3 linked regions of the Coturnix japonica genome follow. The protein of the gene in region 1 purifies or fractionates together with the protein of each later gene. This does not show direct contact. Links are inferred from orthologs where the notes say so. Each region holds a gene or a part of one and is shown in the gene's direction. Other genes may lie near its edges. The genes, in order: MED19, MED9 and DNA-directed RNA polymerase II subunit RPB11-a.

Region 1 (3,245 bases):
GATGGTAGGCAGGGAGCCCGGCACCCCACGCCAACTCACACTGGGTAGGAGATACTCACATCTATGGTCTTATCGTTGAAGTACTTGATATACTCAGGTCCCATGTAAAGGGGTGGCTTGCAGGTCATCAGGAACACTGCAATAACAGCATCCCTGAGCCCAGCGCCCACCTGGAGCGAGGCCTCTGCCCCCTTTTTTCCACTTCTGGAATGCCCAAGAGACACAGGCTTAGTCTGAGGGAGGCTCCTCCTTCCCCAGAGCAGCCTGTATGGCTACAAAGACAGCAGCAGCACAAGGCAAGATGGCTCCAGCCCCATTTGAGGAAGGCAATGCACAGGATGGGCAGAGACAAGGCCTGACAGGAGCACTGTTACAGCCCCTGCATTACGGATCCCCCCCCACTTCCCCACGTGTCTCACCGATGCAGAGCGTGAGGTAGAGCAGGCCCATGCGGATGTCAAGACGGAAGAAGAGGATGGCGTTGGCCACTTTGCTGAACATGAAGATGTTCCCAATGTGCTGCTCCACAGTGACTGGGAAGGAGGGAAGAAATCAGAGATGGGGCCACGTCTCTTTTCACTCTCATCCCTCAACTGTTTCCAGTACAGAGACACCCCATCAGCAGCTTATACTCAACCCAGCACTGCCCCAACTCACTGGAGCGCCGGTTCTTCATCATGACGATGGCGCTGAGGAACATGAGGATCTCCACCTCCCGCTGCACAGGAGAGAAACGCAGTGAGCACCGTGACAGCCACAGCCACAGCCACAGCCACAGCCACAGCCAGCACCTCGGGCACAACCGAGCAGCCCTGCAGCACAACCACAAGGCCAAGCAGCCATTCCAGGCCGCTCCAGCCTTCATCCTCCGCCTGCCCTCGATCAGGAGCCGGGGCTGCGCACAGAGGGGCCGCCTCGGCTGCACCCAGCGCCGGTGATACCCGAGTAGGCCACGGCACAGGCCGGCCCGGTGCTGCCGCTCACCCAGTCGAAGTCGCAGGGGTTGCCGTCCTCCCGCTGTGAGGGCAGCCCGCGGCACAGCGGCGGGACCTTGCGGACGAGCAGGAATGCGGTGGCGAGCAGCGCGGACAGCGGGTAGTAGGGCCGGGCCAGCCAGCGGCACAGCCCCGGCACCGAGTACAGCAGCGCCAGCAGCGGGGCCAGCACCGCCATCTTGTCCTCCGGCCGCCCGCCGCGCTCCCATTGGCCGGAGCTGCACGTACGTCCGCGAGGGGCGGGGCGGCCCCGCGCGGGGCAGGGCGGGAAGATGGAGAACTTCTCGGCGCTGTTCGGCGGGGCCGAGCCGCCTCCCGCCGCCGCCGCCGCCGCGCTGGGCTTCGGGCCCAACAAGGGGCCGGGAGCGGGGGCCGCTCCGCCTCCAGCAGCCGCCGTGCCGCCGCCGGGAGACGACGCGGCGCGCAAGGCCGCCACCGGCCCCTTCTACCTGCTGCGGGAGCTGCCGGGTGCGGGCCGGGCCGCGGGGGAGGGGGGGGGGGCGCGGGGCCAATGAGCGGGCGGGACGCGCGGAGTGACGGCTCGTCGGGCCAATGGGCGCGGGCGGTCCGGCGAGGGGCGGGGCGCTGAGGGTGCCGGTCCGTCCGCAGGCGGCACGGAGCTGACGGGCAGCAGCAACCTGATCACACACTACAGCCTGGAGCACGCGTACAACAAGTTCTGCGGCAAGAAGGTGAAGGAGAAGCTCAGCAACTTCCTGCCCGACCTGCCCGGCATGATCGACCTGCCCGGCTCACACGACAACAGCAGCCTGCGCTCCCTCATCGAGAAGCCGCCCATCTGCGGCAGCTCCTTCACGCCGCTCACCGGCACCATGCTGACCGGGTTCCGACTGCACGCCGGCCCGGTGAGCACCCGGGGGAGGAAGGGGGGATGGGGGTAAGGAGGGGGTCCGCTGACATGAGCCCCTGCAGCTGCCGGAGCAGTGCCGCCTCATGCACATCCAGCCGCCCAAGAAGAAGAACAAGCACAAGCACAAGCAGAGCCGCACGCAGGACCCTGTGCCCCCAGGTAGGACCGTGCCCTGCTAACTCTGCACCCCATGTGTCCTGGTAACTCTGTGCCCCGCTCACCCCTCCTCTGCTTCCTGCAGAAACCCCCTCGGACTCAGACCACAAGAAAAAGAAGAAGAAGAAAGAGGAGGATCCGGAGCGCAAAAGGAAGAAGAAGGAGAAAAAGAAAAAGAAGGTAGGTTAGGAGGCAGCGTGCTGCTCTGCTCTGCCTGCACCAGCCCCGTGCCAGGCCGCGGCAGCACCACACGTTAGGCCTCCAGCAGGGCTTGGCACTGGGTTTCACAAGGCCTCACGCCTGTCCTTCTTCTGCAGAACCGACACAGCCCCGAGCACCCCGGGGTGGGCAGCTCGCAGGCCAGCAGCAGCAGCAGCTTGCGGTGAGGCTGCGCTGTGCTGCTCTATGGAGCTCCCTGCCCCAGCTGTGGACTCGTCCCATCACAGAGCACAGCGGGGAGGTGTGGGCACTCATGGTCCCCGCTTGCAGAGAACGTGGCCTTGCAACCCCCCTGCTTGCACTGTGTGGCTGATGGGGACCTGGTGACGCGGACGCTGCTGGAATGGGGGCTCCTACCACACCTAAGCAACGTGGTGCATTGGGATCTCACTTTTTTATTCACCTTTTAATTAAAGTCTGCTCTGAGGAAGAGCTGGTGCCAGTGGCGGCTCTGACTGTTGGCCAGCGGGGCAGGGCAAGGAGCAGAGGCCTTGTGCCTGTCCCATCATACTCCAGGCCTTGCAGCTCTCTGGGCTGTGAGAGAAGGCTCAGGAGGACACAAGTGACCCCAGTTCAGCACCATGTCCCCCAGGGCTGCCCCTGTGGGGGCTCCTACAGAAGAGCCAGAGCCTCACTGAGTCCTGGGACATGTTCCAACCCTGACAGCTCCACTTACCTGCACTGAGAGCGCTGTGCCCCAAAGTGCCCTAAGGAAGCACATCCCAGCTGTGAGGGCGCAGGCACTGGCAGCCCTGTAAGGCTGGGCCCGGCTCTCCTTGTCCCCTTCCTTTCCACTCCAGACGAGGGAGGGAAAGCTGAGAAGTGAAGGACAGGATCCTTCACGGACTCCTCCATCCCTGGACACCGCACAAAGCACACGCATGCCCGCTGAGGTGACTCATTAAATATCCTTTTATTCCTCGTTTTTAAAATGGCTAATCATAATAATAAAAAAAAAAACAAAAAACCAATGGCATGGCTCTGCGGAGGCCACAGGAGAGATA
Region 2 (3,695 bases), on another chromosome or scaffold:
ATCCCTGGGCTATAACTAACTGATGAACCCGGGAGCTGAATTCAAATAAAAAACAAAATTATCTGTGCTCTCTAAGCCAATCCAGGAAGGATAACTCACGACTGTGGCTGCTGTTATCAGTGCTACAATAGTGTGTATTGACAGAGCGGTTTAAACGCGGCAGCAGCAGTTTGCTGAAGCACACTCCTGATGGTGCACAGGGGCAGCACTGCTCACCCTCACCTTCCATGCAGCGTGTTCTCCATCACCCCCTTGCACTCACAGCCCAGGCACCCAAGAACCCCACCTCTCCCCTCCTTGCAGCTTCATGGATGTCTCAGCCCTGCTGCTGGATTTTTGCCTCCATTCCTTCAGGTTTCTCCAGTTCCAAGCCCTGAAAGCCCTTCTCTTCTCCAGGCTGAACTCCCTCAGCCTGCCTTTATATGGGAGAGGTGCTCCAGCCCTCACAGCATCTCCATGGCCCTCCTCTCCAACGAGGACAGCCAGGAACAGTTGGGCTGCACACAGGTCAGGGATGCTGTAGGTCACACTGTGGGGTGCTCAGTGTGGGTGTGCAGGGCACTGCCTTGGGAGCACAGGCCCGGCTCAGCTGGGGAACACCTCAGCAGCAGTGCAGTCCCATATCTGAGACCCAGTCCCAAAGCTTGACCCCGGGCTCAGCCCCCACACCCACCCTCACAGCCCAGGACCCAGGGAGGCCTCCGAGCCCCGCTCCGGCCCAGGCCTCAGCCCCAGGCCACGGCCCGCAGCATCCCCACACCCCAACCTCCTGCCCAGGCCCAAACTGAGCCCCACACACAAGCAGCATCTGATGCTCAGCCCAGGCCGCCGCCGGGGCGGTACAGAGCGGCCGAGCTCCGCCCCGCTCCGTCACTGCTCGGCGCCGGGGGCCGCCATGGCCTCGGTGGTGTCCGCAGGCCGAGGGGCCGCCGAGGAGCCGCCGCCGGCCGAGCCGCCCACCGAGCAGAAACCGCCGCCCGCCCCGCCGGCAGCAGCGCAGGAGGAGTTCTCCTTCCTGCCGCTCGTCCACGACATCATCAAATGGTAACGGCGGCCGCACAGCGCCGGGCCGGCCTCACCACGGCATCACCCCGCAGGGATGCTCCCTCTGCCCTTTCTCTCCCCGCTGGGGTCTATGGGGGGGTTGGCAGCTGCTCTGCTCTGAGCCGGGCCCGTAGTTGGGGTCACCGAGGTGGGGCAGGGCCGGGTGTGCAGCAGCAGGAGCCGTGCCGAGCTGTTATTGCCCCGTATTGCTGCTCTGATGGGCTGATAAGTAAAGGACGGGCAGTCCCAGGGCAGCACTGTCTGTTTCTGGGCGTTGGGAGAAAGAGGAAGGCTTGTGCAGGCTGAGTCATCCTCTTTCCTGTTCAAAATCAATGCTGTGGGGTTAAAGGTGTTCGTACGAGGGTCCTGACAACCAGCGTTTGTGGCCCAGGGTAACCCTGTCAGAAATGTTTGAGTTCCCGGTAGGGGCATCGCCCTGCTGTGACCTGGGCACGTTGCACAGTGATGCAGAGGGCACAGGAAGCGTGAATTCCCACTCCTTGTTGTGGGTCTGACTGCCCTTTCCCTGCACGCTTCTATGGGAGCTGAGGCTGCTTTGTTTCCTGCTGGGGTTCTGTGTGTCTGAGTACCCAGAAGAGGTTCACCCTTATTAACCATGCAGCTGGAGGAGCATGGCAAGGAAAGGCCGAATACCCCACAGACACGGCAGCCTAGAATCTAGCTCTCCTAGATTCAGGAGAGCTATGAGAACTCAAACCCACCCTCCATTTCCCCCCTGCGCTGCCACTGTCCCTGTGCTCAACCCTGCCTGATCCATCCAGAGGTGATGCTGAACCTGCTGCCATCTGTATATGTGTGCAGAGCCAGAGTGAGCCAGATCCACGGGCTGAGACCTCCCAGCCTCCTGTGTGTCACCAAGCAAGTCGTGGCGACCCACAATGACAGTGCTGGGATATCCTGTGCCCTGTCCCTCTGAGCCACCCACTCCCACTGCCCCGCTCCCCCCCAGGTTGGCACACAGCATTTCCTGCACGGGGTGAGCAGACGTAGGTGCTCAGAGCAGCACTGCAGAGGGGTCAGACGGCAGAGCCGAGCAGTGGGATGAGTTGCCTCATGTCCCTGACAGATGGCAAACGTATTATCCTTTAACGCCGCCGCCAGGCTCACAGCCCGGCCCTGCTGTTCTGACACTGACTCAGCCCTGAAGACATTTCACATCTCCAAGGTGACTGTGCTGGGGTGCAGTGATGTATCGCGTACATTTGCTTACATTCAAGGACACGTGTTCCTTCCTGTTGTTTGAGTCCCAAGAAAGTTCTCCCAGGCAGGGCTTGCTGTTACTTTCACCCTTGTATAATCAGATGAGGTTACCTGTGAGGTCCCTGTGCGTGGTGGGTTGTGCTGGTGTATCCAGGAGCTGCAGGTGGGACATGATGGAGTTATGATTTGTTCACAGCAGTGAAGGAGAGCTGGTGGGCAGCTGGGGAGGGTCTGAAGATCTCAGTCCTTGAAGGGAGATCCCAAGCACTGTGAGGCTGTGGCTGGACATTGCATTTAATCCTGTGTAACTGCAGGTAGCTGAACCTCTTCCCACTCTTGCTCTCCCCCCTGCCTTTCCATGCCTGCAGAGGAGCTGCTTCAATTACTTGAAAACTCCCATCAGAAACAAAACAACAACAAGCCTGAAAATAGTTATTCCTTCAAACCAACCAACCAACCAGGCAACCATCCATTCTTTGGATGTGGAGAAGAGAACGAGCTGTGGAAGGACCTGGTCGGCCCTTTGAATCCAGCATGCAGCTCGTGTGGATTAAAGGCAATGCCAACCCATCCTTCCCAGATGTGCAATGTGTGTGTGCCTGTATTTTTCCACTGTCAACTTGACCGTAAACGCCTGCATAATGGGGGTACATTATAGTACCAGCTGCGGTTTTATTTAGAAGGGAGTCATGAATATTTTGTTCCAACAGGCTGTTGAAATGAACGGGACCATCTGGTTAAAAGTTTTGCTCTCAGTCGTGTCACGATTCCCCAAAGTTCTAATCAGGCACCTCTCTGCCCTGGTCATGCCAAGCAGTTTTATTTTGGGCCTGGCTATTGAACAGGCTCCCAGCTTACAGGGGCCGTTAGCAGCCTGCTCTCGTTATTAGCGCTGCCTTGGAAGCAGTCTCGCCTTTGCCTGGAATGGTAAAACTCCTTGCTGTAGCTAACAAAGCTGAAGCAGATACTAATGAGGGTTTGAGGGCAGACGCTGCCTCAGACGACGCTGATCCTCGAGAAGCACGGAGCTGCAGAAGCAATTGTGCTGCTCTTAAAAAATAAGCTGTCGCTTCTCTTTATTAGGTAGACATCCCCGGAGAGTCGTTCTGAAGCTCCGAAATGCCGTTTTCTCTGCCATTGGACACACTCTGGTACTTTGGGGAACGATTCCTATTTTCTGCTGTCAAGCTGTTTGACTGCATCGATTTCTTGTATTGCTTTGACAACAGGTCACAGACGGGGCTGAGGTCTTTTTTCCCAGGTGCCCACACACAACCTGTGTGTGTGTAATCTTACCTTCCCCATATGGGAATTGAAACAGAGTGAGAGGCTGTGGTAGTGTTTGAAAGCTGCAGACCAGGTCTTAACCTGTAGGACTGCAATTAAGGTTACTGGATGGTGTGCTGAAAATGACCAGGAAACCAGTTTGT
Region 3 (3,746 bases), on another chromosome or scaffold:
CACCCGCCTGGTGGGCACGGAGGAGGAGGAGGGTGGAGAGGAGCAGCCCTGTGCCCCCCGCAGCAACGTGGTGAAGGAGGGGCTGCTGTTTGTCCATAAGACACGGGGCAAAGGGCCGCTGCTTGCTTCTGCATCCAAGAAGCTGCACTTCTGCCTCACCAGCGAGGCACTCAGCTTCAGCAAGAGCCCCGGGGCAGAGGTAGGGGGACGTGGGGTGGTGGGATCCCATGGTGGCACGGAGGGCACCGAGCGCTGTGTCCCCAATGGCAGAGATGCGGCTCCATCGCTTTGGCCAACATCCGAGCGGCCGAGAAGGTGGAGGAGAAAAGCTTTGGGAGCTGCCACGTCATGCAGGTGGTCTATGTGGATGAGGCCGGGCAGCAGGAGACGGCGTATCTGCAGTGCAAGGTGGGCTGGGATGGGGACGGGGCTGTTTCCCATTGGGGTACTGTGTGACCTCGCTGTTTAACCCGCAGTGTGTCAATGAGCTGAACCAGTGGCTGTCTGCGCTGAGGAAGGTGTGCGGCAACAACCCGCAGCTGCTGCGCTCCTACCACCCCGGGGTCTTCAGGGGGGATAAATGGAGCTGCTGCCACCAGAAGGACAGGACGGGTACGGGCTGCTGGGTGGGGGGTGGGGGTGGTGATGTCCCCGCTATTTTCAGCCCCTGTTCTGTCCCATAGGACCGGGCTGCGGCCGGACCCGGCACAGCATCACCCTGCAGGACTGGACCGACCCGCTGCAGCCCGACGTGGAGGCGCAGCGGCTCTTCCAGCACCTGCACGGGCTGCAGCAGCCCCTCAGGTGGGACCCACAACCGGGGGCAGCCCCCAAAGCGCCCCCTGCCCCGCGGCCAACAGCCCCTTTATCCGCAGGGAGAAGTGCCGGCAGCTCATGGAGCCGGGGGACCCTCAGAACGGAGAAGGTAGAGAAAGGACCCCCAGCTCCCCATCCCCCCCATAGGCGCTGTGCTCTGGGGCTGCTCCCATTCCCGGGGGGTCTCACCGCCCCGCTCTCCCCCCCCCCCAGCCCCACCGCTGACCCCCGCGCTCCGCCGGCTCCTGGATGCGCTGCAGGACCTGGAGCGCTGTCACCGCCGGCTGCCCCCGGCCCAGCCCCCCCTGCAGGAGCTGCCGGAGCCGCAGACGTGACGGACGGACCGGGATGTGCCGGGATGGGGCTGGGGGGGGGGGGGGGGGGGGGGTCGCAGCGTGGCAATAAATGCGCAGCTCCACCCGCTCCGTGTCCGTGCCTTTATAGCGCACTGCGCACGGTCCGCCCGCACGGCAGGGGGCGCTGTGGGCGGAAGTGACGCTGTGTGCGCTGCGGGGAGCGGTGCGGAGCCGGCGGGATGAACGCGCCGCCAGCATTTGAGTCGTTCCTGCTGTTCGAAGGGGAGAAAAAGTGAGTAGGGGGCGGGATGGAGGATGGGGGGGGTCCGGTGGGGGGTTGGGGGCTGCCCGGACCGTCCCGTGCCCCCCCGGTTCCCCCCATGTCCGCCCGGGCTGTGGCAGTGAATCGCCGCCCCCTGTGCTGTGTAGGATCACCATCAACAAGGACACCAAGGTGCCCAACGCCTGTTTGTTCACCATCAACAAGGAGGATCACACGCTGGGAAACATCATCAAGTCGTGAGCTGAGGGAGCTGGGCGCTGCTTACAAGTGCTGGGGCTCTTATAAAGCTCTTACATCTATTAATGTATGTTTGTTTGCTGCTGCTTTGCCTCCTCCCCCAGGCAGCTGCTGAAGGACCCCCAGGTGCTGTTTGCAGGTTACAAGGTCCCGCACCCCCTGGAACATAAAATCATCATCCGCGTCCAAACGACCCCGGATTACAGCCCCCAGGAGGCCTTCACCAACGCCATCACCGACCTGATCAGCGAGCTGTCCCTGCTGGAGGAGAGATTCAGGGTGAGCTCAGTTCTGAGCACTGCGAGAAGCCCATCCTTTGAACCTAAGGGAAGGGCTCAGCCCAGAGCTGCTGCCATCTCGAAGATGATCAGGGGGCTGGAGCACCTCCCCTATGAGGACAGGCTGAGGGAGTTGGGTTTGTGCAGCCTGGAGAAGAGAAGGTTGCGGGGTGACCTCATTGCAGCCTTTCAGAACCTGAAGGGAACCTATAACCAGGAGGGGAGTAAACTCTTGGAAAGGGCTGACAATAGCAGGACACGGGGAAATGGTTTGAAGTTAAAAGAGGGAAGATTTAGGTTGGATGTCAGGGGGAAGTTCTTCACTAGGAGAGTGGTCAGGCCCTGGAACAGGCTGCCCAGGGAGGTTGTGGATGCCCCGTCCTTGGAGGTGTTCAAGGCCAGGTTGGACGGGGCCGTGGGCAACCTGATCTATGGGGTCTCTATGGGGAATCTATGGGGTCTCCTGGGCAACCTGATCTAGTAAATGTGTATGTTTGGTGGCCCTGCCAGGCAGGGGGGTTGAAACTACATGATCCTTGAGGTTCCTTCCAACCCGGGTCATTCTGTGATCATCTAGTCCAACCATTCCCAATACTTCCCGGCTAGATCATACTCAACAACACAACATCCAGACGTTTTCTTGAACACTCCCATGGTCGGTGACTCCACCACCTCTCTGGGCAGTGCATTCCAATGCCTGACTACCCTTTCCGCAAAGTAAAACTTCCTAATGTTCAGCCTGAATCTCCCCTGGCGCAGCTTAAAACCATTCCCTCTAGTTCTATCACTGATAACACAAGAGAAGAGGCCAACCCCCAGCTCACTACAACCTCCCTTCAGGAAGTTATAGAGCAATAAGGTCTCCCCTGAACTCATGCAGTTGTTGTTTGATGTGAAATTGATGAAATCAGTGTTTAAACCATCCACTGACGGTTCTGTTTCTGTTCTTTACAGGTTGCCATTAAAGACAAACAAGAAGGAATCGAGTGAAATCAGCCTGCTCTTAGTGTGATACACTGCTGATGAAGAACGATGTGTCTGAGTGAAATGCTTTATTTAAACCTTCATTCAATGCCAATTACTTTCCTTCCAGTCCTACTGACTTTGGCAGCAGTATTGGGAGGGGATGTTTGTATCTGACATGTCTTGTTTGATTTCATGGCTTAATTCACTAAAATGGTTTTCACTTTTCTAACTGGAGCCTCACTGTCACTATGTGCACTATGCTGTAGCTCAGTCTCACTGCCCTTATGGCAATGAGGAGATGCTGAGTGGCAATAACGGGTCACAGCCCTGGTTTCCCATTCCAAGAAGTTCAGATTCTGCCAGCAGAGTTGTTGTTTTGTTTTATTAAGTGTCATTTCTATAAAACAAATGCACAAATTGTGTAAACTTACAGGAAAAAAGCCTGGATGACTGGATGTGCTTAACGAACTCTTTTACCTTTTGCACGTAACAGCTGGTCTAGAAAACTTTATGGTTATATGGGTAACAGTCACTAATACTGCACTATTTCAAAACACGGGGAATGAACTTCTATAACAAGGAACTATGACTTCTTCCAAATGGCTGTAATGTTCACACTAGTGAGAGCAACAAGGTAAGTGAAAGTAGGGTCTGTTATCACGTTGTTTATGTAGACTTCGCTCAGGTGTTCCCCATTTGCTTGAAGCTCCGGCCATTTGAGAATCTACAGGGAGAACAGAGTTTGTGTAGGAAAGGAATGGTATCATTGTCCATGAAACTTGGGCAATATCAATTATTGCAAAGCCTGGTTTGACAACTGGAGCTGGGTGGGGTCCAAAGAGGTCACATCCCTACCAGATACAGTTAGAG

The links.
Region 2: the proteins of MED19 (region 1) and MED9 purify together in Homo sapiens (affinity purification with mass spectrometry; 6 studies listed by BioGRID and IntAct, counting the BioPlex papers as one, with this or other methods). This does not show direct contact. The link is inferred for Coturnix japonica from reciprocal best matches to the Homo sapiens genes MED19 and MED9.
Region 3: the proteins of MED19 (region 1) and DNA-directed RNA polymerase II subunit RPB11-a purify together in Homo sapiens (affinity purification with mass spectrometry; 3 studies listed by BioGRID and IntAct, with this or other methods). This does not show direct contact. The link is inferred for Coturnix japonica from reciprocal best matches to the Homo sapiens genes MED19 and POLR2J.

What each region holds. Positions count from the first base shown.
Region 1 is NC_029520.1:7,805,497-7,808,741, reverse strand, and holds MED19 (mediator of RNA polymerase II transcription subunit 19), read left to right. Parts: upstream 1-1,244; 5' UTR 1,245-1,267; coding exon 1,268-1,463; intron 1,464-1,604; coding exon 1,605-1,861; intron 1,862-1,928; coding exon 1,929-2,025; intron 2,026-2,107; coding exon 2,108-2,202; intron 2,203-2,339; coding exon 2,340-2,408; 3' UTR 2,409-2,673; downstream 2,674-3,245. Other genes in the region: TMX2 (thioredoxin-related transmembrane protein 2), read right to left, coding at 60-136, 420-533, 658-718, 985-1,173. UniProt on the Homo sapiens protein: Component of the Mediator complex, a coactivator involved in the regulated transcription of nearly all RNA polymerase II-dependent genes.
Region 2 is NC_029529.1:4,804,491-4,808,185, forward strand, and holds the start of MED9 (mediator of RNA polymerase II transcription subunit 9), read left to right. Parts: upstream 1-860; 5' UTR 861-895; coding exon 896-1,044; intron 1,045-3,695.
Region 3 is NC_029534.1:3,079,839-3,083,584, reverse strand, and holds DNA-directed RNA polymerase II subunit RPB11-a, read left to right. Parts: upstream 1-1,272; 5' UTR 1,273-1,351; coding exon 1,352-1,404; intron 1,405-1,541; coding exon 1,542-1,631; intron 1,632-1,736; coding exon 1,737-1,911; intron 1,912-2,864; coding exon 2,865-2,900; 3' UTR 2,901-3,243; downstream 3,244-3,746. Other genes in the region: ras GTPase-activating protein 4-like, read left to right, coding at 1-199, 271-408, 477-612, 684-804, 876-925, 1,030-1,151; LRWD1 (leucine-rich repeat and WD repeat-containing protein 1), read right to left, coding at 3,460-3,600. UniProt on the Homo sapiens protein: Core component of RNA polymerase II (Pol II), a DNA-dependent RNA polymerase which synthesizes mRNA precursors and many functional non-coding RNAs using the four ribonucleoside triphosphates as substrates.